Macaca fascicularis: one gene and its partners. The main gene of each other region encodes a partner of the protein of the gene in region 5 in a complex. Links are inferred from orthologs where the notes say so. Each region holds a gene or a part of one and is shown on either strand. Other genes may lie near its edges. The genes, in order: TCTN1, TMEM67, AHI1, CC2D2A, MKS1, B9D1 and TMEM107.

Evidence for each region.
Region 1: MKS1 (region 5) and TCTN1 share a complex: the UniProt entries of both Homo sapiens proteins name them as parts of the tectonic-like complex. The link is inferred for Macaca fascicularis from reciprocal best matches to the Homo sapiens genes MKS1 and TCTN1.
Region 2: MKS1 (region 5) and TMEM67 share a complex: the UniProt entries of both Homo sapiens proteins name them as parts of the tectonic-like complex. The link is inferred for Macaca fascicularis from reciprocal best matches to the Homo sapiens genes MKS1 and TMEM67.
Region 3: MKS1 (region 5) and AHI1 share a complex: the UniProt entries of both Homo sapiens proteins name them as parts of the tectonic-like complex. The link is inferred for Macaca fascicularis from reciprocal best matches to the Homo sapiens genes MKS1 and AHI1.
Region 4: MKS1 (region 5) and CC2D2A share a complex: the UniProt entries of both Homo sapiens proteins name them as parts of the tectonic-like complex. The link is inferred for Macaca fascicularis from reciprocal best matches to the Homo sapiens genes MKS1 and CC2D2A.
Region 6: MKS1 (region 5) and B9D1 share a complex: the UniProt entries of both Homo sapiens proteins name them as parts of the tectonic-like complex. The link is inferred for Macaca fascicularis from reciprocal best matches to the Homo sapiens genes MKS1 and B9D1.
Region 7: MKS1 (region 5) and TMEM107 share a complex: the UniProt entries of both Homo sapiens proteins name them as parts of the tectonic-like complex. The link is inferred for Macaca fascicularis from reciprocal best matches to the Homo sapiens genes MKS1 and TMEM107.

The regions. Positions count from the first base shown.
Region 1 is NC_088385.1:117,497,716-117,502,245, reverse strand, and holds the start of TCTN1 (tectonic-1), read right to left. Parts: upstream 3,021-4,530; 5' UTR 2,994-3,020; coding exon 2,774-2,993; intron 1-2,773. UniProt on the Homo sapiens protein: Component of the tectonic-like complex, a complex localized at the transition zone of primary cilia and acting as a barrier that prevents diffusion of transmembrane proteins between the cilia and plasma membranes.
Region 2 is NC_088382.1:103,464,416-103,467,357, forward strand, and holds part of TMEM67 (meckelin), read left to right. Parts: intron 1-1,948; coding exon 1,949-2,091; intron 2,092-2,942. UniProt on the Homo sapiens protein: Required for ciliary structure and function. Part of the tectonic-like complex which is required for tissue-specific ciliogenesis and may regulate ciliary membrane composition.
Region 3 is NC_088378.1:39,536,944-39,541,617, forward strand, and holds the start of AHI1 (jouberin), read right to left. Parts: upstream 3,063-4,674; 5' UTR 2,880-3,062; intron 2,547-2,879; 5' UTR 2,485-2,546; intron 1,009-2,484; 5' UTR 618-1,008; intron 1-617. UniProt on the Homo sapiens protein: Involved in vesicle trafficking and required for ciliogenesis, formation of primary non-motile cilium, and recruitment of RAB8A to the basal body of primary cilium.
Region 4 is NC_088379.1:14,671,343-14,675,424, reverse strand, and holds part of CC2D2A (coiled-coil and C2 domain-containing protein 2A), read right to left. Parts: intron 2,714-4,082; coding exon 2,551-2,713; intron 1,534-2,550; coding exon 1,397-1,533; intron 777-1,396; coding exon 645-776; intron 1-644. UniProt on the Homo sapiens protein: Component of the tectonic-like complex, a complex localized at the transition zone of primary cilia and acting as a barrier that prevents diffusion of transmembrane proteins between the cilia and plasma membranes.
Region 5 is NC_088390.1:48,500,008-48,504,089, reverse strand, and holds part of MKS1 (tectonic-like complex member MKS1), read right to left. Parts: intron 3,773-4,082; coding exon 3,664-3,772; intron 3,113-3,663; coding exon 3,056-3,112; intron 1,697-3,055; coding exon 1,654-1,696; intron 1,399-1,653; coding exon 1,333-1,398; intron 1-1,332. UniProt on the Homo sapiens protein: Component of the tectonic-like complex, a complex localized at the transition zone of primary cilia and acting as a barrier that prevents diffusion of transmembrane proteins between the cilia and plasma membranes.
Region 6 is NC_088390.1:19,085,289-19,088,449, forward strand, and holds the end of B9D1 (B9 domain-containing protein 1), read right to left. Parts: intron 1,335-3,161; coding exon 1,267-1,334; intron 937-1,266; coding exon 794-936; 3' UTR 653-793; downstream 1-652. UniProt on the Homo sapiens protein: Component of the tectonic-like complex, a complex localized at the transition zone of primary cilia and acting as a barrier that prevents diffusion of transmembrane proteins between the cilia and plasma membranes.
Region 7 is NC_088390.1:8,260,955-8,265,692, forward strand, and holds TMEM107 (transmembrane protein 107), read right to left. Parts: upstream 3,263-4,738; 5' UTR 3,138-3,262; coding exon 3,051-3,137; intron 2,875-3,050; coding exon 2,807-2,874; intron 2,724-2,806; coding exon 2,605-2,723; intron 1,765-2,604; exon of another isoform or gene 1,666-1,764; intron 1,499-1,665; coding exon 1,402-1,498; intron 1,157-1,401; coding exon 1,087-1,156; 3' UTR 885-1,086; downstream 1-884. UniProt on the Homo sapiens protein: Plays a role in cilia formation and embryonic patterning. Requires for normal Sonic hedgehog (Shh) signaling in the neural tube and acts in combination with GLI2 and GLI3 to pattern ventral and intermediate neuronal cell types.

The DNA of each region.
Region 1 (4,530 bases), on a different chromosome or scaffold from region 5:
TAAAAAATAAAAAGTGCTTTAGGTTCCCTGTATGTTTAAAATTACAATCTTGCTTTGTTTTCAAAACTTAAAGCCCTTGTAGGTAGCTATAAGACTACTAAGGACGAAGCAATAGTGTTTAATAACTCCACTTAGGAAAAAGGTTTCTACCCAGGATGCAAGTGCACTTAATCATCCAACAAGTAGCTGTTGAGCCCCATCAGGTCCAAGAAGCACTCAGCTGCTCTTGCCTCCTATAGCATCTGCACACCTGGCTTGTAGAGCAGGGTACTAATGAACAGAGCCCAGATTCAAGATGAAGGGTTATCACTCTTCTCCACCAACACTGCCTGCAAGCCACCTGCAATGTTCCATCCAGTTCTCCACTCAGAGTCAGCCTCCTGCTCTAATATCTATAAGTTGTGTGTTCTAAAATTAGGCAAATAATTTACCCACCTGAAAAATGGGGATAACAGTACCCTCATGAGGTTGTAAGGATTAAATGAGATACATCATAGGTGAAATGCTTAGCACAGTGCTAAGTGAACAGTTAACAAATGAGTTATTACTGTCACAAGTCTTAAGAGAGGTCCTTTAAAAAAGTGAAGACAGGCGACAGGCAGAGTGCGGTGGCTCATGCCTGTATGGAGGCACTATGGGAGGCCTAGGTGGGCAATCACTTGAGGCCAGGAGTTCGAGACCAGCCTGAGCAACATGGCAAAACCCCATCTCTACAAAAAATTAGCCAGGCGTGGTGGCATGCACCTGTAGTTCCAGCTACCCAGGAGTCTGAGGTGGGAAGATCACCTGAGCCTAGGAGGTCGAGGCTGCAGTGAGCTGTGATCATGCTACTACACTCCAGCCTGAGTGACAGAGTGAGACCCTGTATCCAAAAAAAAAATAAAATGTGGGGACAAGTACAAATTCATCCCCGATAATGGAAAAACAGCCTTGAACACATGCTATAATAATGATGTTTCAAGCATAGCTTTATTTTGGAGAGAAAATGCATTAACAGATGGAGTACTTACATGAATAAAAGACAATCCAGTCCAAAAACTACTTAGAGTTTCAGACATTGAATACTTGGCTTCATTCTGTCCCAGTTTGTCACTGATTTAACTTCCCTACTAATTCATCAAATCAACAATTTAAATATAAAACAGAGCTCTGTTTATATATTAAAATAGCAAATATATTTCTCTGTAGTTTTTCTTTCAGATTACTCATAATTCAGAAAGAGCTTTTTGGAGAAATCAAGGTTCAGTAACTGAAGTTAAGTTCTAGAGTTCAAGATACCAGCTGATGACTTTTTTACCTACTAATACTGAGTCTTAATCAATCTGAGAAAAGATCTTCTTAAGAAGGGATAGTCCAGGCACAGTTGTTTACACCTGTAATCCCAGCACTTTGGAAGGCCAAGGTGGATCACTTGAGCCCAGGAGTTTGAGATCAGCCTGAACAACTTAGCGAGATCTCATCTCTACTAAAAATTAAAAAAATTAAAAAGCAAGCTGGGGGAGCACACCTGTGGATCCAGCTACTCTGAAGGCTGAGGCAAAAGGATCCCTTGAGCCCAGTAGATTGAGACTTAAGTGAGATATAATCATGCCACTGCACTCCAGCCTAGGTAACAGAGTGAGACCTCGCCTCAAAAAAAAAAAAAAAAAAAAAAAAAAAGACTGAAAAAAAGATTTAAAGTACTGCATACCTATTGGGGTTACTCTCAATCCACACAACTGGAAAATTTTAAAAACTTTGAGATCATGAACCACTTTAAGAATCGGCTGCTATGAACTCTCATCTCAGGAAAAGGCATATTCACAAAGTTTTGCACTCAATCTTAGAGGGTCACAGTCATTCTCTGAAGTCATCCACGTCAATTTTTTTTTTTTTTTTTTTTTTTTGAGACAGTCTTGCTCTGTCGCCCAGTCTGGAGTGCAGTAGTAATTACGGCAACCTCTGCCTCCTGGGTTCAAGCTATTCTCCTGCCTCAGCCTCCCGAGTAACTGGGATTACAGGCATGCACCACCATGCCCGGCTAATTTTTCTATTTTTAGTAGAGACTGGGTTTCGCCATGTTGACCAGGCAGATCTTGAACTCCTACCTCAAGCAATCCACCCGACTTGGCCTCCCAAAGTGCTGGGATTACAGGCGTGAGCCACGGCGCCAGCCAAACGTCAAATTAGATTATAAAATATTTCCACTAAATGTGTAATTCTAGAATTAGACAATCATTTTCTGAAAAAAAAAATGTTAATTATCCCTAAATATGACTCCTAAGAAGTGAGCATAACCCCTCCCTCCATGGCTTCCCACCTCCAATTCAACACAGGAGGAATCCTGGGTTTTTAGAATTCAGGTCAACAGACAAGCGTCTTAACCTAGTCACATTTAGTAAGATAGACCTTTGGCCTCTCTTTAAGTGAAAGTTCCATGCAGCCTAGGCACCAATTTCCACCATTGTCTCGACTTAATTTCGTCTTGGGCTGCAAGGATTCATTCATTATTGCTCTTTGCATTACTGTTGTCTGGGATCACTTCAAGTATTTTCAAAGGTCTGATACCGTACCACTTAAACTCTCTGAGACCCGGTTTTCTCATTTACATGACAGTGATAGTAAGAGCTACCTCTCAGGGTTATTGTTTAAAGAACGGACGTTTATGGAACACTTAGTGTCTGCACACAGTAAGTGCTCAATAAGCGTTAGCTATCATTATTACGTCCTCAACCGGGCTGCCCCCTTGAGGTTGGATCCCTGTGGACCACAGGAGCTGGCACATAGTACCCACCGTCCGTGACTGGGGTAGGCCTGGGGCCGGAGGAGGACCCTGGTGCTCTAGGAGTACCAGGGGGCCTGGTCGACGGGAAAGGTCCGAAAGTCGCCAGGGCTGCCTCGGTGGAGTTGAGGCCCTCTGTCGTCACCGCCGGGGTGGCCTCGGTCTGGGCGCTCACGGAGGCCCAGCAGCTCAGGAGTACCACCAAGAGCGGCGGGAGGCCTCGCGGCCTCATCTTCCAGCGGGTCCCAGCTACGCCCGCGCCAGGGACCGCGCGTTGCCCGGCAACCGCTACACCCAGGCGCGAGGCATCACGGGAAGCGGCTTGCTAAGCCGCGAGAAGCTGCCGGAGACTGACGGGGGCGAAGCCTGGATGAGGCAGGGGGCGGATCCTGGATGAGGCCAGAGGGCGGAGCCTGGGTGAGGCAGCGATGGCAAGCACTAGGGCGAGCACTAGTGAGCGGCTGTGAAGCTGGCATAAACGAGAGGCGTGTAAATCCCAGCTGTGGTTCCCAACCGGTCTGCGGCGCTTACTTAAAAAATGTGGATTTTCTGTAGTTCCAGCTACTCGGGAGACTGAGGCAGGAGAATCGCTTGAACCCAGGAGGTGGAGGCTACAGTGAGCCGTGAGCGTGCCACTGCACTCCAGCCTGGGCGACAGTGCGAGACTCTGTCTCAACCAAAAAAAAAAAAAAAAAAAAAAAAAAAAGACGGATTTCCAGGTACCACCTCAGGAGATCCTGAGTCAGTAAGGCTAGGACAGGACCCAGGAATCAGTTTTTGGGGGATTTTTTTGAGACAGGGTCTCACTCGACATGTCGCCCAGGCTGGAGTGCAGTGGTTCGATCTCGGCTCATTGCAGCCTCGACCTCTGGGGCTCAAGCAATCCTCCCACTTCAACCTCCTGAGTAGCTGGGAACTCATGCGCGCGCCACCATACCCAGCTAATTTTTGTATTTTTTTGTAGAGACGAGGTTTCCCTCCGTCGCCCGGGTCTCCCTCCCAGGCGTCGCCCAGACTGGTCTCAAACTCCTGGGTTCAAGTGATCCACCTGCTTCAGCCTCTTGAGTCCTGAGTAGTTGGGATTACAGGCATGAGCCACCACTCCCAGCCAGGAATAAATATTTTTAACAAATGTCCCGACACAAGCAGATGAGTTGGATGGAAATTTGGGAAGCGCCGTCTCAACACCACTAATGTGGGTGTTTCAAAGGAGCATAGGGATCTGTGAGATCACTGTCCCTGAATTCTCTCTATCCCAGACTCTGTCAACACTGGCTTCACCTTTTTTGTTTTAGCTGCATCTCACAAGGTTGCCACATAACTTCTGTCTGCTGTATTGTGATAAAGGGGACAAATGAACACTTAATAACTTTTATTATCATTATTTTTTGTAGCGAGGGGTCTCACTATGCTGATCAGGCTAGTCACAAACTCCTGACCTCAAGTGATCCTCCCACCTCAGCCTCCCAAAGAGCTGGGATTACAGGCATGAGCCACCACGCCAGGCCTAAGAACTTTTTTAAAGACAAAAATCTTTCACAAAAATTAAGTAAAATAATTTAGACATCTTAAAGGGGAAAACAAAGCAAATCCACTGTAATGCTACAAAATGACCTGGAGACCCTAAGATTTAGGAAAGCCTGTCCATTCTGAATGGGCTTATTTAGGAGGTACCCAAGCCCAGGGATGTTGGCTGCACCTTTGACACTTAATCTCTGTACAATTCAGAAGTAGATGTCAAACTACTTAGACATGGCCAGGCGCAGTGG
Region 2 (2,942 bases), on a different chromosome or scaffold from region 5:
TCCTGCTTTTTTTCTTCCTTTCTCCTTCAGTCTTCCTTCCTCTTCCTCCTCTTTCTAACTGTATTCTTCCATCTCTCTATCTTCTTCTTTTTTTTTTTTTTTTTGGAGATGGAGTTTCGCTCTGTTGTCCAGGCTGGAGTGCAGTGGCGCAATCTTGGCTCACTGCAACCTCCGCCTCCCAGGTTCAAGCAATTCTCCTGCCTCAGCTACTCGAGTAGCTGGAATTACAGGTGCCTGCCACCACACCTGGCTAATTTTTGTGTTTTTGGTAAAGATGGAGTTTCACCATATTGGCCAGGCTGGCCTCGAACTCCTGACCTCAAGTGACCTGCCCACCTCAGCCTCCCAAAGTGGGATTGCAGGTGTGAGCCACCGCTCCTGGCCTCACTATCTTCGTCTTCATCAAGAGCTGATGAGACTATGAGCTAAGGCAGTAGCAGTGGGGCTAGAGAAGAAAGGATTGCCAGAAATGTTAAGGGAAAAGACTAGTCAAAAATTATCCAGACTTCTGGCTGTGTGACTAAGTGGGTGGTGGTGCCTTTCAATAACAGAGGCAATACAGAAGGAGGACCAGGTTTTGAGGGAAAGAGGATGAATTTAGTTTTCAGTATGTTGCATCTTGAGGTACTTTAGGACATCTAGGAAGAGGTATCCAGTAGGCATTAAATATAAGGGACCAGGTCGTAGGAGAAAGTAGAAGCACACAATAAATTGAGGAGTTGCTATCATATGAAGTCATTGCTGGAGCAGTGTTAGTAGAAAATCACCAAGAGACAGTATGTAAAACAGGTTTATTTTTAAGATTATATATGCAAGTATAATGTGCATATTTTGTAAGGATATAACTTATAGGTCAGTGAATTTTCACAAACTGAATATACCCCTGTAACTAGTACCCTTTCAAGAGAGAACATTACCAGCACTCCAGATGCCCCCTTGTATAAAGCAGATGTTCCTAACTGGGTATCCCCGGGCTGCTTCAGTGGTTTTCTGGATTTCCCTGAAATTGTTGGCAAGACTTGTATATGTATGGTTTTTTTTTGTTTTTTTTTTTCCTGGTGGAAGGGTCTTTAGCTTTCATCAGGCTTTTGTAGTTTTTTGTTTGTTTGTTTGTTTGTTTAGAGACAGGTTTTTGCTCTGTTGCCCAGGCTAGAGTGCAGTGGTGCAATCATATTAATAGCTCGCTATAACCTCAGACTCCTGGGTTCATGCACTCCTCCCATCTCAGTCTCCCAAATAGCTAAGACTACAGGTGTGCACCACCAGATCCTTTTTCTTTTTTTTTGGTAGAGATGGAGTCTCACTATGTTGCCTAGGCTGGTCTTGAACTCCTGGCCTCAAGCAGTCCTCCTGCCTCAGCCTCCCAGAGTGCTGGAATTACAGGCATGAGACACTGTGCCCGGCCTCATCATAATCTTTTTAAAAGGGTGTTCACATCCCAATAAGGATGAAACCCGCTGGTGGAGTGAGAAGAGAACTTAGAGCAAAACCTTAAGGGGACTATTTGAAATAAATTATTGAACTCTTGAACACTGTGTACTATTCTGTGCCTTGCTGGGTTTTTTCTCTAATATACTCTATCTTAGGGAATGTTTGTAAGATTAATTTAGCTTTTAGTTACATAAAGAAATAGAGAAAGGCTATTTATTAACTGGTCTTTGAAACTTACACTACTAGCAGTTACCAACCATTGGTCCTAATGTTAAAACTGCTTTATAGGAGGTGTTATGAGTTTTTTAACTAACCTCTTTTAGATGAGCAAATCTTAAAATTTTTGTTTATTTTTAATTTAATTATTTTGTTTATTTTTGTGTAAGCCATGAATTATTGTATATAGTATGTTTCTAATGTGCTATTTTTAAATATCCAGATTTTGTCACCAGAAATTTATCACAGACTTGTTCCTTTTTTAAATTTCTAATTTATATTTTCTAAACTTTTTTAATAGATGAAGGTTATTCTTTCAGCAGTGTCCTGTATTATGGAAATGAAGCTACCCTTCTTATTTTTGATCTGCTGTTCTTCTGTGTTGTGGATTTGGCTTGCCAAAATTTTATTTTAGCATCCTTCCTTACATATCTACAACAAGAGGTAAATTTTAAAAATTTTTCTACATTTCCCTTCATTTTCTTGAGAGAAATATGTTAGAAGTAGATATTTTCATAGCAGAGAGTAACAATGTCTACTTTTACTACAATTTTGTAAAGGTTTAGAATATGACTAACCCCACCAAAAGGAGGAATAACATTTCAAACAACTGTACTCTGTCCTTTAGGGTCAATGAAATACTGAGGTCTAGTGGAGGGCATCAGTTGCTTGATTATACATGGAAGAGGAATCCTATAGGAAGACATTTAACTACTAGTCTCCTAGATGCTACAAGTGAACAGTAATTAGAGTCCCATCCACCCTCTCCACCAGATGTTAAGTAACAAAAAAACAGGCACTGGAGAGCTAGCTCAGGGCTCAGCACCAAAGGGAAGCCCCCTTTAGCCTGCAGCTTTGACACCTCGTCTACCAGTGTAGATGAAAAGCAACTTTGTGTATGAGTGTGGACCCTGAAATAGAGATCTCAAGAAATGGCAAATCTGTTCTTGAAATGGTGTTATTATCAACTAAATATTCTCCACTATGTCAAAGAAGTATATATGAGTAAGATGCAATTTATTAGTCCTTGACAGTGATCTAGAATTGTGCAGAAATTCTCTCCCTAGCGAGTAGATTCTTTTGATGTTTCCTTAGTTTTAGACTTAGAAGAAAGTTGCCTTTCTAAATATTTTAAAATGTATCCCTGTGAACATGAGAGAATTTGTATTATTAATTCATAAGAATTTACTCTAAATGGGAACATACATTGCTTTGAAACTATGAACAAAATTATCATCTTGAAATAATTTTGTGTATCACCATGGGATTCAGATGCCTGATACATGAAAATAGTT
Region 3 (4,674 bases), on a different chromosome or scaffold from region 5:
CAGGGAGACCCTAGGCTGAAGATTTGGGAGTTATTTATAAATATGATAGTTGCAAGAAAATAAAAAGCCAATGAGAATCCTGAGAGCCCACAATATAAAGTAAAATCAGGGAGACAGGTAAAAAACTGGGAGACAGAAGCATTACAGAAGGAAAGAGTTTTAAAGGAGATGTAGCCTATATACTGTGTGGCATCAAAAGGGGCTGGAGGTTTTGAAGAAAGTCCACTGAATCTGCAAGAAGGAAGTCACGTGTGTCAAAGCTGTTTATGGAGGGGCAGAAACCTAGCAGGCTGGGGCTGAGGGGTGAATGGAAGGTGACCCCTGTAGAAGGGACATGTAGACAATTCTTTACAGAATTCTTCCAACTGTCTTTCCACCACCCCTAAAGGCAGTGACATGAGACAGTAACTCTGGGACAAAAACACTGTGGAAGGATTATGCTGTTTGTTTTAAGATTGTTTCCATGCCACTATCACCTTACCCTTTTAAAAAATAAATCATCATCTATACAGCAATCAGTGTAATTTTCTAAAATTCAAATGTGACGGTGTCATTTCTTTGCTTAAAATTCTTCCCTAGCTCCCAATCACACACTGAAAAAAATATCAAGTCCTTACCATTGAGGTCCAAGGCCATTTATGAAATGTCCCCTTCACACCATACGCTGTGTTCCAGCCATGTGAAACTACCTCCAGGCCTTCACATGTGCCACGTCCTCTCTTGCTTTTGTATCATTACACATATATCCCCTCTCCTGAAAAATGTCCTTCCTCCTTTGTCACTCTAACAAACTCCTCATTATCCTTTGAAGGCAAGTATCTTCTCTAGAGAGCATTCGCACCTTGAAGGGCAGTGAAGCACTTCTCTTCTGTGCTCCCAGGATGCCTGAATCTTTGTAACTCCCTCTACCTCAGCCCTGAATTTTCATCCTGGTTAAATGTTCTGTCTCCCACCAAACTGCTAGCTTTGGAGGCCACGCCAATGCTCTCTATAGTTATGTATCTGGCACTATGAAAGAAAAGAGGAGAGAGAAGAGAAAACACGAGAAGCAAAGCAAAGCGAAGCAGTAGCAACGGTCCTAGAGTAAAAAAGACTCAGGTTTGACCTCCAGTGTCACCACTTACTGATGTGTGGCATTGGGTAAGCTACTTAATTTCTAATCCTTGGTTTTTCCTTGTCTGGGAATTTAAAATGGCACCTGTTTTAGTACTGCAAGGAGAAAATACCAAAAAGCAAAGTAATGAGTACACTGCAATAAAATTACTTTATGTCCAGTATTATTGTATTAAAAATAAGTAATTATTAATAAAATACAGAAATCATAGAATTATTTACTGTTAATAGCTTAATACACAACTGAATAAATACTAATATTATTTAATAACACAGCAAATACATTATAGAAATAATCTCTAATTTTTTTTTTTTTTGGAGACAAAGTCTTGCTCTGTTGCCCAGGTTGGAGTGCAGTGGCACAATCTCAGCTCACTGCTGCCTCCGCCTCCTGGGTTCAAGCAATTCCCCTGCCTCAACCTCCCTAGCAGCTGGGACTACAGGTGTGCGCCACCACGCCCGGCTAATTGTTGTATTTTTAGTAGAGATGGGTTTTCACCAACATTAGCCAGGCGGATACTGAACTCCTGACCTCAAGTGATCCACCCACTCTTGATCCTCCCAAAGTGCTAGGATTACAGGCCTGATCCACTGTGCCCAGCCATCTCTAAATCTTAATGTGTACTACAGCAAACATATGATAGAATTAATGACTAATATTTAATTAGTAACATTATCTGCGAAAATTCAGGTCGGACTTTAAAAGACACCTCCGAATCTTATATATTCCATTATTTTACAACTTCTCCCTCACAAACCCTTTCACAGGAGCTTCTAAGAGATACTATGTAGGAAAATTAAATGGATTACACCTCATCTCATTTTATTTTACAGACCACCTGATTATCAGCCAATATGTGACTCAATATCAATGGGAGAAAAAATTGAGAGGCTTGATAATTCCCTCTTTAACCAAATGTTATCGCAAGGGAAAAAAAGACAAACAAAAATCCTGTACACAAAATTCAATGAATAGATCAACAAGATTCTTCATAAGTACACAAGATTCTAACTTCATAAATATTATTCTTCATAAACAAGATTCTAAGTATGGTTTAATAACACTTTTGGTATTTTAATTTTTTCAAGCATTCTTTAAAAAATTTCCCAGAGTACTCATAAGAAGCAATCTTCCTCCTAACCCAAGCAATAACAGTAACTGCTAATGCAACAGGTGAAAAAACTGTTGGCATCTCTTTCTCAAAAGGGAAAAACTTTATTTTCACATTAGATGTTTTCACAGGAATGCCAAACGCAGCACAACCTTTGATAAGGATGCTTAAATGGTCTACATTTTTATTCTATTTTTATGCATCTCGAAACAACCCTATTAATATAATCTGGCTCTTATAAGTTTAACAAATTGATCACCTTTTCTCAGACGTAATTAAGTAGGCTTTGACAGGTTGAAGATTCAGCCCCAGGATGACACTCTAAAAGGAAATAAACACACTCAGTACGCATCTGATTTAAAAGCATTTAAACAAGAATCGGGAGTAGGAAAGGCAAAGATTGAATTCCCTATCAGAACACCATGCTCAACTCTCCGGAGACACCGAGACCAGTGAAAGAAGCGGAAAAGTACGTTGAGGACTCCGGGAAATCGCATTCCTCCGGGACACCCGGCCCACGCTCCCCGGTCAATCCGCGATCAGCCCCCGCGCTCTCGGACTCCAGCAGCCCCGACACGCCGCCCCGGAGAGGGCCGGGCAGGCCCAGCACCCCGGCCCGCGCTCCCGCCACCAGCGAACCCACGAGGTACTTACGGAGAGGAGGAGTAGGCAGAACCGTCCGTCCCGCCCAAGCCGACACCCGGAACAGTGCAAATCGACTCCCCCGCGCCCAGCGGCGCGGGCGCTAAGTGAGGCGGCCACGAAGCCACCTTACCCGCCAGCGACCCGGGTTCGGAGAGCAAGCCACTGCTCTGTGCCGCAGTGCGGACGACTCGCGGCCTGCTGACGTCAGCGCCTGCCTACACCGCCGTTCCCATGGCGACCGACGCGTCTCGCGCGCTAGGCCCGGACCGCGGCCCCGCCCCCGCCCCCGTCCCCGCGCCGCCACCGCCTTCGCCTCAGCCCGGGAGAAGGGGCCGCGCGGCGCCTGCACCGGGGCCCTCAGGCTGTTGGTGGGCGCGCGCTTCGGGGACCTTACCGGCCTCCAGCCTCCGAGGCCGTGCGAGCGGGAAGGGAGTCGGAAATGCGCGGGTGCTCCCACAGAGCTTGAGTCTTCCCCGCCCTCACCTCCAAAAATACTCTTTCCGCCTTAGAATTGTAGCAAGCGCAGGGAAAAACTGACGGGGCAAAGGAAAACTGGGGAGGCTGTTATGGAAGTCGCCCAAAATAAGAAAATCAATGAATGAGGCAAAGAAACAGATTTGTCACTCCCCACGCGGTCGCGCCCACAAAAGAAAACATGATTTTAAAGCGTGGAAAATGAAGTTGTACTACAGACAAAATCTTAAGAAAAAATTATGCACGATTCCTTTAGAGCTATCTCCCTGTGTGTGGAAAACAAAAGTTAAAACGCCATACTTTTCTGTACCTAATGCTCCCTCCCACTTTTCTGATTTCTGCCGCAGGCGCCATCTTCAGCTCTGAGTCACCAGGGCTGGAAAAATACTAGTTGCGCTACTCGTGGACTCATGAATACACGCCATTTCCTGTACCTACAGCCACGCGCTGTAACCTGTTGCTTCGTTTGTACAGAGAGAGAGTTTACGGAGGCCAGCTTTTCCATTCTCACTGGCATTGCCACACCTTACAAACTATATCTCTATGCCATGTGCTTCCCTAAATCCTTTGAGGAAGCAACGAGAAAGATTACTAATCCGCTGTGTACCAAACTGAGCTGTTCAACTTTGCATTCTAAACCTACTCTCCTAGATTTCTATCTTGCTGTAAGCCACCACTATCTTGCTGTAATCTTGCACTATCAAGTGTCAAACACTTGCTCCCAGTGTTTTAGTAAGAACTGTAGAGTATCCTAAATGCATCTTATACCAAAGCATATTCATTCTCTCTTTTTAAATTCCTCAGGTGGGCGCTTTACCAGTCCTGTGACTCCAGTTTTGACTCTTAAAATTCCCCACACTGCTATCAGAATGTCCTGACTAAAAATGTAAATCGGATAATGGCTCTCTCTTGCTGAAAATTCTTGAAAGGCAACGTGTAAGAGAAAATGATTGCTTTGCCTAGGATACAAGATGCTCCATCTCCCTGACTAATTTCATCTCTCGTTAGCTTATTGTTCCAATTTTATGCAATATTGAATCATGTGTATCATGCAGTTTTGTGCAACATTGAATTATGTGTACTATGAAAAACAATCCATAGCCTTGCACGCCCTGTCCTTACACATATTGTTCTCTCTTCCTGAAAATTCCTCCTTTTACACTACTGCATATCACAGTCAAATGTTGTCCATCCTTCGAATCTTAAGCAGGTTGACTGACTCCTTCAAATACTCCTACTCCTTATTAGATTTTGGATATTCATTCCGTATATTAGACTTTACATACTCATTCTATATTTTCATAGTTTACATTGTATTTTTTCTATCCCC
Region 4 (4,082 bases), on a different chromosome or scaffold from region 5:
GAAAGCAAGAGCAATGTAATTAAATATGAGAGCAGACAACTGTAATGATAGCCAGCACTTACTAAGCTCTGTTTTAGGCACTTGTGTGGATTACCTCATTCAATTTACACAGCAAGCCTAGGAGGCAGACACTGCCATCGTGCCTACCTTACAGATGAAGACATTGAGGCATGAGAGACTAACGGCCAAGTTCACCCAGTGAATGGTAGAGCAAGGGCTGGAATTAGGCAGCCGGTTACCAGACTTAGGAAAATACGATATAAAGGATTTGCAAGGATAGAAAATCTCTAGCCATATAATAAAGAGACAACAAATGGGAAGTGGTCCTGCAGCAAATGTGAGATGACAAGGGAAAAGAGAGGGCAAAAGAAGAAAAATAAGGGTAGCTAACCAGGATGCGTGAAAAAAGATCCTAACTCAGTCATTCCTAGCTAGGAAACTCACTCCTTGTTTAAGAAGGGATTCATTGAGTATAATTAGACTTACTCTTACGTAATATGCCTGATGTTTGTTCTTTATGTGTAAGATTGTGAATTATTTTAAAAAATTAAAGTGGAATGTTATAAACATAGCACCCCAAGCTATTCAAAAAGCAAAGCACTTTCAATTTCATGTAATAAAAGTGGAGAGAGGGGAGTGTCTACCTTTTTATATAGTGTTTCAAGCTCTGCCTTAATGCTCTGCTCCTGTGTTAGTACTGGCCGCCTCGAAGGAAATGGCTTGATGGGGTTTGGCAGAGCTAGGATCCTACCGTCATCTCCAAACCATCTTCTTTCCTGTAGGTGAAGCAGAGGGAATGACAACATTCTCTTCTAATTGAACAGAAAATGGTTTATAACACAAACAACGTTTCTTGAAAATTCTGTGTCAACATATATATTTCATGTACCTCCTCCCCCAACAGAACTGTAAAAGTCTGTTTCCATTAGAAATCAAGTCTTCACTAACGCCTCTCACAACTGATTTAAAATGTACACCCTGGCTCCCTAAATAGTATTTTAAAGAACTTAAATGAATGCTTAAGAAAAATTTATTTTCTATTCATTAAACATTTAAGAAAAAAAAAAAACGCAGGATAAAAACTCAAAATTGAGACTATTCTACCTATGGATAATTTAAAAATTCTGTCAAGTACGAAAAGGTTGCCAGCATCTGGTTTAGCAGGAAAAACACAGATTCAGCTAGCAAAGATGGATTTTGAGCAGTTGAGAAGTTGTGTTATTTGAGGATCAATAAATGTACTGAGAGAGAAAGTTAAAACAAAAATTGAACCACTTTCTGTGGATAACCTCAAGAGGAAATGAGTACAGTGGATGCAATGACTGCCCTGTTAGGAAAATAAAAGCTATGTCTAGTGCACCCAGGCCACACTTGGGAGCAGAACGTGCACACTTACGGGATCCTGCATCAGCAATCTGTTCTCCATGATGTTCTGATTGGTGCGTGCCACCTCTGGTCTTACCCCAGTGTAAAGGCCTTCATCTTCCAGGAACCTGGGCTGTACATTCTCAGGAAGCTTTTTATATGTAGGGACTAGATAGTTTATAAATAAATAAAACATTAGGACCAATCTAAATATCTCAAACTGCATTTTGGTGAATTAATCACTAGAGATTTCATTTATGTTTTTAGAAAATGCAAATTTTCCAAATTAATTTTTAAAAGCAGAACCAAGGGAAAGATGAATGTGCTCACTTATAGGAGTATGTTGTAGAATCAGGTATTTAAAGAAAATACCTAAATAATTTAATATGTAACTCATCAGTGTGGCATACTGAGAAGAAGGTAGTATTCAAATCATAGGACAAGGGACAAGTTTTAGCTTTATTACTTTTCAGCTGGGTGAATTGGGGCCAGGCACTTCTTTGAACTCTCTCCTCCTGTACAAAAGAGATAATAATCTACTTAACTGGGCTTCTGGGAGAATTAAATGAGGTAAAGTATGAGGACGTGCTTTGTAAATGAACAGGTTTATATGAGTGAACGTGATCATTACCTCATTTATTCATTCACTACTTTATTCATTCATAGAACACATCTTTACTGACAGCCTCCTTGTGCCGGGCACAGATGAGACTCTGGGAATCCAGGCCAGTCCCCTGCTGCCTTGGAGCTTGGATTGTAGTGGGAGTGACAGGCAGCAACAGGAAGCAAAGGTCTCTACAAGATCACGCCATAGAGTAGTAGGAAAATACACGGGGAATGGTGACTTAGGGAAGGGTGGGGATAAACTTAAGATGAAAGAAAGGCTGTTCTCATAAACTCTCAGCCCCTGTAACTGATCACTGATTTGATAAAAGGCTTCCCACAGTACTTTGGTGTATCTTCCATTAGTCTATCAATAAGTGTTTGTTGAATGGATATTTTTCCATGTTCTGTGTTTTTTTTTGTTGTTGTTGTTTGTTTGTTTGAAGATATTTCTGGATTGTTAAATCAGATTAGAAACTGGAATCAGATCTGGAGATGAGGCATCCTTATGCACTAGCCATATTTCATTACAAAATAAGTGACGATTTCTAAACTGAACAAGAAAATAAAAAGAGCAAGTACCTGTCTGCCTACTGGGTATGAAGAGCATTTCTGTTTCCATCTGCAGCCGATCATGAATGCTTTCATAATCTGCAGGTCTGACTGCTACAAAATCATCAGCCATGTGATCTAAGCCCAATAGGAAGTCCTCGGCATCATCACCATTAAGCAGTTCTTCCTCATCCTGCATAATGTTAAAAAGTAACAAGAAAAAATCATGCTAAGATTTTTAGTTAGAAAAATAATTAACAATACCAAACTCATGAAACTTAACATTTCCTACAACTTTTATCTTTTCCTTTTATAAAAAATGAAAGCATAGAACTATATAATCTTTCATATTTAACAAGTGGGTTTAAAAAAAAATTGTTTTGCACTATTCTGCACACCTGGAAGATGTCAAAATCAGAGATGGCTGTTTCAGAAGAGAAGTGGTAAGCAAAACAATCAAAATCCCAACAGATATGGCCTCCTTTGAGGGTGCTTACTTTTGGCCATTTATGTAAAGAATTGGGCTCATAATTTATGTAGCAGTTTAACCTTCCACCTGGCACTAAACCAAGGGAAAAGGCACCAAGTGTATAGGTGCACAGTCTACACACCCTGTTCAGACTGCCTAGGTTTAAATCCCAGCTTCACCATATACTGTCTGAGGAATTTGAAACTGCTTATTTAACCATCTGATCCTCAGTTTCCTCACTTATAAGATGGTTATAGTAATAGAGTTTACCTCTAAGCACTTTGTGGGGATAAAATTAAATGATGCACTTAAAAATTCAAAGCAAAGAGGCTATAATCACAAATGTTAGCTGACATATATTGATTTTGTTTGGATATTTTCCAAACATCTTCTCCCCCTTCCTCTTTTTCTTTCTCCTTCTTTTAAAAATTTAAACCTGGTATCCATTTATGAGCAACATCTTTTAAAATCCTGTGGAGACTTTCAGGTAGCTGAAGACAACGATGGCAGTCTAGCTACTTGCCTCTTAATATTTCCTCCCCATGTACACGCAACAGTAGGGAAAGAAAAAGGGAATCTATGTAGAAACCATGCTTTTAACTTAGCTTGAAGACAGAGAATGTCGAAACATCGAACAAGTGAAAAGAGGAAGATCACCAGATGGCAGTGTGTAATCTTCCTTCTCCTGCCCCACCTCTGCTTTGTGGTGAGCAAAATCACCCAGAGAAAAACTGCAGAGAAGACAGAAAAGGGAAGCTAGCAAAAGGGGCTACAGAGGATCTAAAACTTTGTTCAAAAAGACTAAATCAACCTTGAAGATGAAAATACTTTAAAAGTGTCCGGGCAGAGCAGAGCATGGACTATAGGGAAGGGGCTTCAAAATGTGTGTGATTTAAAATGTGTGTGATTTTAGGAAAACAGAGCTTCTGGGGCAGTGAATAGGCAAAAGGAAGGGAGAAGTGGCCTTTGGTGGAAAGTGTCATAATCTCAGAAGATGTTCACAACTGGAGACTTCTATCAACAGGTGAAGCCCAATTCTCCTCCATTTGAGAGTGCACTATGCCTCGTGACTTGCTTCTCCTGAGTAGAATAT
Region 5 (4,082 bases):
TACTGAGTGCCTGCTATGTGCTAGTATATCTTAGGGGTATCTTGGTAACTAGATAGAAAAGATCCCCATCTCTCATGGAGCTGACATTCTGGGGGAAGCAGGGAGACAAAAAACAAACCAACAAGAGACTATTGGGTAGTGATGAGTGCTCTATTCAAACAAAACGGGAAGGGACTGAGTGACTGGGAGGCTCATTTAGGCCGGGTGGTAAGAGAAGGCCTTTCAGAAGTGACACAGGTTGAGACCTAAACTCAGAAAGAACCAGCCATGCTAAGATATGGCAGAAAGGGTTTCAGACAAAGGAAATGGCCCTTACAAGGTTCTAAGGGGGGAATGAACCTGGCTGGGAAGAACGACTGAAATGTTGTACGGAAGAGATAGGCAGAGGCTCATTCAGGGTATTGAGTTTACATTTTATTCTAAGTGGGAGGCGAAGCTCTTGGGGGTTTTCAGCTCAAAAGGGACATAACTTGTTTACATTTTTTAAAACTCAACTTGGCTTTGGTGTCTGTGGCAAATGAACTGCAAATGGGAGCAAGGCAGGAAGCAGGGGGATAAGTCAGAAGTTGAATGCATTGGCCTAGACAAGAGACGGTGGTGGCTTGGTGTAGGGTGCTGGAGAGAACAGACAGGTTCACAACAGCTTTCGAAGACAGAACGCACAGGAACTGTTGACAGGTTGGCTGGCTATAGGGAGCTAGGGAAAGTGAGGGATCAAGGATGTCCCCTAGGTTTTTGGCATCAGCAACTCAGATACTGCCATTCTGTTAGGATGGGGAATACCAGGGAGGAGAGGTTTGAGGGAAGAGGAGGAATCCAGAGTTCTCTTTGATCATGTTAGACAGAAATGACAAAGAGGTAACTGGATACGAGTCTGGCGTCCAGGCTAAGGCTGGAGGCAGAAACCTGGGAGTCTGAGACACATCGATGGTATTTAAGCCATGGGATGGATGAGGTCACCCAGGAAGACTGCAGACAGAGAGTAACAGAAGGCCTTGGCTTAGCCATGGGTACCCTCACGGTGTAAGATCAGCAGAAGAGAAGGCATTACCCAAGGAAGGTGAGGGGCCACCAGTGAGACAGGAGAGAGAATGTGGAGCCAGAAGCCAGAGAAGTGTGTCATGCAGCACAGTGGGCTCTGGCAAATGCTCTAGGAAGGTCAAGCGAGGTGAAAGCAGGAAAGTTCCCACTGGGTTTGGCAAAGTGGATGTGATCTACAACCTTGAAAAGAACAGTAACAGTTTCAGCAGAGGAGTGGGAAAGGAAGCCTGACCAAATGCCTCTACATCTGTCTGAATGGGTATAAAAGAGAGACTTAAGAATATTACTTACGAGTAGTTGGCAATTCCACAAAGAAGTGGACGTAGAGATTGTCATACTCATAGCCTTGGGCTGAAACTAAGAGAGAAAACAGGAAGCTATTTTAGCTTTTTATCCTACCACCCTTAGCACCCAACCCAGTCCTGAGGGTCCAACACACCCTGAGAGCAAGTCTTTTGAGGGCCAGGAACCCTCTGCATTTCCAGGAAAGACTCACCACTGAGTTTCCCAAGTACAGCAGACAAGACCTCTACCAGGGTGGAGGAGACTATTCACGGCTACATCTAGGCACGTGCCTTAGCATCAAGAGATCTATGCTAGCAAGACACTTACCTACCTCTCCATTTACAAAGAGCCGGAGGGCACCTGGGACAGTCTAAGGTGAAGAGAAGTGGGAAAGGATCAGCAGGCCTGAAGGGAACTGGCACTTCTCCTCCAGCCTCATCTACAAATCTGCAGATATCCTGACACTGGGGGTCAGATCCTGGGTGTCACTACTGCACTTTCTCCCCACCCTGACACTTCTCCACAGATCTGTTTCCTTCATTCCTAAGATACATAATGTAAGGGGAAAGTACATAATTTAAATGGCAGTAAGGACAATGCACTATGGGAAATTAGCCAAGCAACAGCAACTGCCCTGTGGTGTGCAATAGGAAGCCAGAATGCCCGGTTCCCTTTACACAGCTGAGGTCAAGAAACCAGGGAGTTTTCTTTTTTAATTATTTGTGCATCTGTCTTATCTAACTTTTAAATACTGAATATCTGTTGCTTATGCAATATGGAAACAGTGAATGTTAATTTTTCAGAGAAAGAGAGGGAGACCAGTAATTCTATCCTTGTTTCCAGGTCTAGCGATGGAACACTTAGAACGAGAAAAGACAAAGAACAGCACGACAGAATAGCTGAACTAAACCACTTTCTTTTTTTTTTCAGACAGGGTCTTGATCTGTTGTCCAGGCTGGAATGCAGTGGTGTGATCATAGCTCAGTGCAAACTCAAACTTCTGGGCTCAAGCAATCCTGCTGCCTCAGCATCATGCATAGCTGGGACTACAGGCATGTATCACCATGCCTTGCTAATTTTTTTTTTTTTTAAATTTTTGTAGGGATGTGGTCTCACTATGTTGCCCAGGCTGGTCTCAAACTCCTGGCCTCAAGTGATCCTCCCACCTTGGTCTCACAAAGTGCTGGGATTATAGTCATGAGCCACCACGTCGGGCCTATATTTTTTAAGAGCCAAAATATGTGACAAACAGAAATGGCACCCCTGCCTCTCTATGGGGTATTTTGAAAAAATATCCACATGAAAGGTGAAGAAGACATTTTTCATCCTTATATTTATTTTCTAAATTAATTATAAAGTAATACATAAATACATTACCACTGATAAAAATTCAAAACTACCTGAGTTTAGGGAATAAAAAGCAAAAATCCCTGATATATCCCTCTCACTACCCACTACCCATCTACCACATCTAATCCCACCCTCCCCAAAAAAGCCACCCACAGCATATGCGTAGCCTTTCAGGCCTTTTTCTCGGCATTAACAGTTCTCTATCAACATGCAATGTTGCAAAACACATAACAAGGACTATATGTGCTATTCTTTGACTTCCTTTTCACACCGTAGAGTATACCTTGGAGGCCTTTAAGAGAAGTGCTGTAACCCATCCACAGTCAGAATGCTCCGGCTAAACACAGCTCACAGTGCTGCAGGAAGCCAAGCTACTCACCATCTCAAAGTCAGTGCCTACGAGGCTGCTGAGATACTCCTTGTGCCGGCCATAAAGCTGAGGAAACAAACCAAACCAAAACTCAAGATGTAACCCAAGCTAGACCAAAGTTCAGTTCTGAACAGGAAGAAGAAGAAAAGCAATAGTGGGAAGGATCATCAAGAGCTGGAGGCACAAGCACCTGACCCACCGCCATTTTACTGTGAAGCAGAGGCCCTGGAGTCAGCTGGTCTGGGGCAGAATCCTGACTCTCGCGCTTACAAGCTATGTAACCTTGGGCAGACTACTTAGCTCCTCAATCTCGGTTTCCCCACTTATAAGGTAGTAATAAGAAAAGTGTTCACCTCAAAGGGTTGTTGTAAGGACTAAAGGAAATAAGGTATGTAAAGTACCTAGCACAGAACATGGTAAATGCTCAAATAAATGGTTATTGTTATTATTATAATATGATCAAAAACTTCTGATATGTCAGCAATGCCGCCTAAGTCAGAAGGGGCTATGAAGGGCAAGGCTTTTCCCAAGCAACTGCTGACATCAAGTCCAGAAACGGTCTCAGCTCCAGGCACTGAGGCTCGTCCCTTCGATACTTGGAATGAACTCGCACTCACATCCTTGAACACACGCCGTTCCCGCTCCTCCTCCTCTGGCTGTGCGAGGGGGGAAACATTGTCGATCGTATATTTCCACAGCTCCTGCTTCTCTCCCTCCGTCTCGATCCTGTAAGGTCAAAGCCACAGAAAGGAGCGACCTAATAATGAGAGATGGGCCTGGGGATAGCTCCCAGCCCAGGGAAAAGCGATCAGGGGCCATACACCTCACTTGAAGTAAATGATGATAAAAATGGCTGTATTGATGACCAGGAAAGAGAAACAAAAGGATAAAGCAGTGAGGGCACCAGACTAGACTCAGACAGTATAGGTTCTGGGCCCATTTCTGGCCTGAAGTTATAGTCAAACTGTAAGGCACAACATTCCTGCCACCCAGTTCTTTCACCTGAAAAATGGACAGGTTGGTCCAGATAATTTCT
Region 6 (3,161 bases), about 29 Mb from region 5:
ACAGAGAGGGCCCAGGGCTGCCTCGTGAGGTGCCAGGGATTCTTGGGAAGGTAGGGAGGCCCAGGGCCAGGGCCCCCAAAGTAATGCTAAAGGGGTTCTGCTTCCAGAAGGGCCCGGACAACCTTAGAGGTCAGGGTGTTGAGCCAGGGGGCTCACCTTCCTCTCCTGCGACCCCAGCCAGCAGCCTCCCACCTCTGGGAGATTTCGAGCCCCCATCCTTGGACTGTGGGTAGGGAGGAGCAGAGAGGGGAGTGGGCAGCCTGAGGGTCTGCTGTCCCCCAGGTACCTCACCATCCAGCTCCCGATAACAGGGTTCTCTCCTTGCCAAGGGAGGCTGGTGGCCAGGAGCATGGCTGAGTGGGTGATTCTACTTAACCCCCAAGCCTCCAAGGAGGGTGCCATGCCCAGTTCAAGGAACAATGTGTTGAGGTATAGAAAAGGCCACAGCTGTGAGTGGCAGAACCTGGTGATGTCAAAGCTCCCATCCCAGATGCCATCCTGCTGCACGGTCTGGTCTTCTGGCAGCTTCCATGGCACAAGGGGTAGGGACAGGGAGGGCCCTGGAGGTGGGGCCAGGAAAGGCCCAAGAGCTCCCAGCTCCTGTGGGGGAGGGGCTAAACAGGAGAGAAGGCAGCCCCAGGCCTAGGCTCTCTGAAAATGAGACTTTATTATATAAAACTATTCTGTGTGCCCCCAGCTCCCACCACCAGGCTGCCCTTCAGGCTGATGGCCAGCCGCCTGACTCCGGGAAGGCAGCCCTTCATTATCAGAAACTCTGCAGCCTGGGGAGCCTTCACTGGGGGAAGCCCTGGGGTGGGCTGGGCCGCGACACACCCTGTGTGTCCAAAGGCCCAGTGTCGTAGCCCAGCTTCCTCATGTCCTTGGTCACCACGTTGAAGAGGAGGGTGACAAAGCCCTGAGAACGGACACGGGTCACTGGGGACAGAAGGACAGCATCAGTCAGGCTGGGATGGGGCAGAGACAGACCCAGGTTGATCTGGGAATCTCTCAGCCTCAGTGTTCTCATCTGTAAAATGGGGACAACAGCGCCTGACCCATGTCCCTCACTGGGAGGTAAAGGGGCTGCCAGGACAGGCAGACATGACAAACCCTCTGTGCTCCAACCAGGCCCTCATCTGGGAACATCTGTGGGCTAGCTCCCATGTGCCTGGCAGGTCCCCAGCATTCACCCCAACCCTGGGCCCATCTACTCCCAGGTTCTAACCTGTCTGGGGGCTGAGGGTAGAGGAGGGGAGGGAGCTTTACCTTCCCGGCCTTCACCCTGAGCCACCACCTTGGGGTCTGTGTACTCGGGTCGCCGCCCCATGAACCAGCTGGGAACACAGAAGAACACAGGTGAGCAGGGCCCCACCCGGGCATTCTTGGCCTTGGACAATGCTGGATGTAGGCTCTCTGTTCAGAAACCAGTACTCCTGCTCCAGCTGCACCCCACCCCCACCAGGAGTCAGGCCCTAAGCAGAGCCTTCCTGGTGGCCGGGCTCCAGCGTGGTGCTGTCCCTTGCCGGGGTCACACAGCCTAGCCAGGCCTCAGGCGCTCTGTGGGCCACGCTGCCTCCGCTGGCCGGTTAGGCTTTTCCGTCTCTGGCTTCCATGGGTTTGGTTCACTGGGAATGAGAGCTCAGGGAGATTCTGGGGTGGGGGTGCTGCCTGAACCCCCAGAAATCCCAGAAAAGTGACAGCAGCTGAGGTGGGGGAGGGGCGGGGACAGTGTGACCCTCCAGCCTTCCTGGAAGGGGGGACCCTACCCCAGAGAGTCTGTGGGGTGGGCAGAAGGGCCCGAACTGGCCTCCTCAGCCTTGCCTCCCACTAGTGTGGGGTCCAGGACATGTCACTTCCCATCTTGGCACCCACCGCAGGCCCTGCCAGGGGTGGCCCACAGCCACCAGGCTGAGCATGTGCCCTCCCTAGCCCCAGACCCCAGTCGGGCCGGGCGGGAGGCCAGGAGGCCGGGGGTGTCAGGCCCCGCCGCCGACACACCCACGCGAGCCGGAAACAACCAGGAGCACTATTCCCGGCCGGGTGGGTCCGGCAGCCGCGGGCTTCGCCCCGCCGGGACTCGCGGCCCCGCCTCCCCTGCACCACAGCTCCCAGGGCCCCCCGCAAGGACACACCCAGCCCCCGAGGGTCACTGGCAACCGTGGCGACGCAACAGCCCACACACCGCCCTCCTGTCTCTGAGGTGGGCACCAGCGCTCACCTGGGGCTGCTGCAGAGGGGCCCAGGGCAGGAAGGGGCTCCCGGCTGCTGCAGAGTTGGCCTGTGGAGACCACAGCCAGGGAGCACTGCCCACCAGCCCCCAACCCCAAGGAGGAAGCCAGGGAGTGAAAGCCAGCGGGCGCTCCCCAGGGGGAAGGGATGGGCAGCCACAACCCCTGCGCCAGTTTCTCCTTCGGGAGAGTGAGGCTGTCACAGCACCCACCTCACAGGAGGCTGTGTGTGAGGACAGGGGCCTGGAAGCGTCCCCACTGTGCCCAGCAGATCCCAGCCCGGCGCTCACATGGAGCTCCCGTTCCCACTGAATTTCTTTCCTGGGGTCCACCTGGGTGGTCTGCTTAGCTGGCTGGGGTGGGAGAGACAAGACAGACTGTTCTGGGAGGGCATTCCAGGCAAGGACCTGAGGCAGGGAAGGACCCCTCAGGCTGGAGGAACTGAGGCGGATGGGAAGCAAGTGGGCAGAGGCCATGGCGTGGGCAGGGCCCGACTACCAGCCTGGCAGCATTCTGGTTGAAGTTCATCCTGACAGAGGCACAGCCTGGGCGGGTTCTAGCAGGCGAGGGGTGCAACCCCAATTGTGTTTTAGGAACACCGTTTTTCTTGCTGTGTGAAGACTAGACTGGAGGGGTTGCAGCAGGCTGAATGGCGGCCCCTCAAAGACAGCAGATCCTAGTCCTGGGAAACCGTGCACGTGACCTTATTGAGAAACAGGGTCACGTGCACTTTGCAGATATGATTAGGCTAAGGATCTTGAGGCAACTATCCAGGTGGACCCTAAAGGCCATCACAAGTATCCTTATCAGAGAGGGAGACAGAGGAGGTGGCCCTGTGACCGTAAAGGCAGGGACTCGAGTGGTGAGGCCATAAGCCAAGGAAGGGTGGGGCCCCCAGAAGCTGAAAGGGCAATAAACAGAGTCTCCACTAGA
Region 7 (4,738 bases), about 40 Mb from region 5:
AAACAAAACAAAACAAAAAAAAAACCCGTTCCTATTGAATGAGTATCATCCATCCTGTGCACTAGATTACAGATTTTTACTGATGTGCAGTGTTTCCTGAGAAGAGGTGAAGCGTCAAAGTATCAAACGACAAAGAACAACGGGAGTCCATTTGCACAATCCTACCTCCTAAGTCCCAGTAAGCAACAAATACAACTCACAATTTTCAAAACCAGATAAAATTTGGCGAGATCACAAAATAGCGAAATACAGAAACTATTCCCTGCACCGCATGATAACTACATTAACTAAACTTACAATCAACATAACAGAAACGTAAGTGATCGTCAGGAAGAATCAGATAGGAGCAATCAGGGTGTTGCAAGTCCTGATTACGCAGAGACGTTAATCACGTTTCATGCATTCTCCAATCATCATGTTCTCATCTGCCCTCCAAAAGAGGAACAGGTAAGGATTATCCCACCTGACGATATTTCTAAAGAGCCGACATTCCGCACTCAGTCAAAAAGATTCCGTTTACAGCTAGGGTGAGTTCACGACGCGTTGGTATGAGTAACCCTACTACTTAGCATCCTTCCAGTTGTATTGCCATATTTGCTTGCACATTTTTAAAAGAATTTTTTCATTCGGCTGCCGAAAAGGAATACATTTCTTTTTCCCAGAATGCTCCGATCATTTACGTGCTGGACGTTCTAACTGTAAGCACTTTCTATTTACATATCTCCGCCCACTCCCTTCCGCCAGACAACTACCGTAATAACCAAAATAGAAGCGATACCAAGTATCTTACGGTCTGCAGAACTAGAAAATAACGTTGCTTCTTTTTTTTTCTTCAGTAGTTTCGCCATCTCAATTGTGCCTTGAAAACTGTATATGTCTTAATCTTACTACAAAACATATTTTATTACAAACCACTAAATACAATGCGGATAATCCCAGACTCAAGACGTAATTATTCCAACACATATCCTCCAGCAGAAGCAGTTTCCGAGGGGAGGACCGAAGCCTATGCCTTCCTTCTTCCAGGAATACGAAGCGGCCCTTGCCCCTGTAGCCTTCGTCCTTAGGTTCCCGTCATGAAGGTGCTCAGAAAGGTTTCTTTTTCAGCCCAAAGACGGTGACGAATAAAGTCATTTCAGTGACAGCTGGAAGGGCACTACCGAGGCAAGTGGTAAATTCAGAAACCCTTTCAATATAAATACCCAAATCTCCAAACCAGAGACCCCACCCCTGAAAGTGTAGGACAGGTGGCATGGGGTAGGGAATGAAAATTCAAAAGACTACAGGATGTTAAGTGGATCTGGTATCTCACACATAGAGGAAAGGGCTGGGTGGGGGAAAAACCCTCAGGTTTAGGGTCAGCCTTCCTCCCTCATTCCCGAATATTGGATGCTACCACACCTGCAGAAGACAAAAATGTACCAATACGTAGTGCACTCCCAACGCTCGAATATGAAGAAGGACAGGGCCACGGATGCACTACAGTGAGCCCCAATGGCTTGGGAAGGCACCAGAGTTAAGGAAAGTCTTTGGATCGACAGATAGTGAGGGGTCAGAAAAGGCCAAAGGCCAGTGGTGGGGTTGGCATCTGCATTCAGGTTCATCGTTTGCTCCCTCACCATATTGCAAGGGCTAGAGTCAGCATCCCCGACTTCTGAATTTTAGGACAGTCATGTGAGGAGAGACCAGAAGTGACTGCGCAGATGGGATCTCAGGCTACCCTACTCCATATCTAGGGGCCAGCCTGGATCCTTCAGATGAGAGGTAAGAGTAGGCTCTCCTGCTATGCCACACAGGAGTGCTGACAGCGACTTGATATGCGCTGGAATCAGCCTCCAGTGTCCTGGTCCTCCTGGTCCACAATTCTCTGACCCATGTGCCTGGCTTCCGTTGCCTCTTCTGAGTTCCCAATGTGCTTTATATCTTTCGTTTTTTGCCAGAGTCTTGCTCTGTCGCCCAGGCTGGAGTGCAGTGGCACGATCTCAGCTCACTGCAACCTCTGCCTCCTGGGTTCAAGCAATTCTCCTTCCTCAGCCTCCTGAGTAGCTGGGATTACAGGAGTGCACCGCCACGCCCGACTAATTTCTGTATTTTTAGTACAGACAGGGTTTCACTATGTTGGTCAGGCTGGTCTTGAACTCCTGACCTCAGGTGATCCACCTGCCTCGGTCTCCCAAAGTGCTGGCATTACAGGCATGAGCCATCGCACCCTGCCTGTGCTATCTTTACACACTCCCATAGCACACTGCTTATCACACTGAATTACAGATGTGTATCTACCTCCTCCTCATGGTTAAAAAAAAAAAAAGTGGAGTTTTTATTATTACTATTTATTTTGTAGACACGGGGTCTAACTATGTTGCCTCCTGCGCGGGCCTCCCACAGTGCTGGGATTACAGACGTGAGCCAACGTGCCTGGCCAAAAACTGTATTTTACTCTCATTTCGGAATTTTAAGTGCCTAGTAAACAGCAGGATTTAGCACATGGTTGAAGATCTTTGAACTGGAGAGACTGGCTACAGCAGACACTATTGTGTCAGGTGGCTGAAGGGAGTCCTGATAGAAATGGGTCGTGTGGGAAAGGTGGGCAGGCAGAAAGGATACAGATGAGGCTCTGGGTGCTGTTGAACATGGAGACTCCTGAGAGGAAACCGGCCAGCTCCACTGCAAAGAGGCCCAGGGTGACAGAAAGCGCGGCCACCAGCCTGCAGAGAGGAAGTGGACTGGCTCAGGCCTTTGGACTTCTTCTAAGACCCCTCCACTCCCACCACCTCTTCGTTCTGGCCACCCCGTCCTAAGAGCTCACTGAATGTCCTGCTTGTCATACTCCTCGGGGGTGAACCTGAGAGGCAGGCAGGCCTGAATGTTGCTGTCCTGGGAGCAGGGCAGAGAGGAAGAGAAGTGAAAAAGGGGCAGGCTGCTGGGCAGGCCTAGGGACGGCGGAACACGAGAAAACCCAAGTGGGTAAGACACTGGGAGAGGGGCAGGGTGGGGCGGGGACGACTCCGAGATGGGAATGGGGGCGGACGGAGGGCAGCCGTGGGTCTTACCCGGGACCAGAATAAGGTGATGACGACCACCAGATGCGCCAGGATCGTCAGGAAGCGAGAGGGCACAAGCCCTGAGACCCGGCCCATGGCCCTTGGGAACAAGAGCGGCGGTCTCTGAGGCTGGAAGTTCAGAGACTGCGACTCCCGCAAGTCCACCAGCAAGCGGACAAATCTAGACGAACTCCTCCTTTCCGCCAGCTCAGGCACCGCCCAGTTGCCTTGGTAACCGCGTACGCGGGCGTGCTGCCGCGTTCTCGGAAAACCTCGCGAGAGCAGTACATTCTCCATCTGCTGTGGGTCTTTCAGGGCTAACTCAGGTCAGGGGTACCCGAAGGAGCTTCTAACCCAATGGCTGGGTACCCGTGCGCAGCCAGGCCCTTTGTTTCTCAGAGGGTGAGGGGTGGCACAGCCGCGCAGCGCCCGATCTGCCCACGCAGGGCCGACGAACGGAAACCCACCCTGGCCTAGCCTGGGGACACCTCTGCTTCCGCGGTTGCCCACGCCGGGAGCGGCCCCCAGCCCCAGCTACGCTGCCCAGTTGTGGATCACTTGAGATCACTCCCACCGCCACGCCGGGCTGAGGTCCCCGCCATGCCGAAGACTCACACCCGCTCCCCTTCCTCCTCTCCTCATGCCTTTAACTTCCCACCAAGCTGGGCCTGAGAAACAAGGGACCCGAACGTGGAGAGGCCGGTGTTCCTGGACTGCTCGGCAGTTACAGATTGTCACAGAGCCCCTGGTTGTCTGAGGACCCTAGGCCTGAACCTTCCTTGAGGAAGACTGATTTCTCTCAGACTACTTTGCTCAGTTTGGTGAAGGATTTGCAGAGTGCAAAAAGTGGTCCGCGTCCTTAAACTAGCGTGGGAATAAGAGCAAAGCAAGGTGGCTGGAAAGGTGGGAGTGGACGAAGGGAATGGTACAGTCCCTGCGTCTCTGGGAGGCTTGGAGCCTACGGGAAGGGAAACTCAACTTAGATTTCTTTATCTCTTGGAGGTGCTGGACCTCCGACATTGCCCAGCTACAGTCCAGGAAGCTCTTATCACCGGCGACGTCATGACCTTTGGGCCTCAGCGCAGGTCCCTGCAGATCTGAAAGTTCTTCTCTAATTGCTCAGTCAAGTCCCATCCTCAAGGAAACTCCCGGCCCATTTCCCAGGAGAACAATATCTTCCTACTTCCCACTCGACGTCTCAGTGCCTTTAGCCAGACTAAAGTACAAGCCCAAGAGGCATTTCTCATTCCTTCAACAAATATTTTTATATATTTATTTATTACCTAGTAATAGTATTCTAGTCAGGGAGATCAACAACAGACATGCAAACAAATAAATCCGTAAGATAATAGGTGCTACAAACAGGGATACGCGGGCCAGGCACAGTGGCTCACGCCTGTAATCCCAGCGCTTTGGGAGGCCCAGGAGGGCGGATCATCTGAGGTCAGGAGTTCGAGACAAGCCTGACCAACATGCTGAAACCCCATCTCCACTAAAAATACAAAATTAGCCGGATGTGGTGGCGCGTGCCTGTAATCCCAGCTACTCGATTACTACTACTCGATTAGCTACTAAGGCAGTGGAATCGCTTGAACCCGGGAGGTGGAGGTTGCAGTGAGCCGTGCCATTGCACTCCAGCCTCTGCAACAAGAGCACAACTCCGTCTCAAAAAAAAAAAAAAAAAAAAAAAAGGAAAC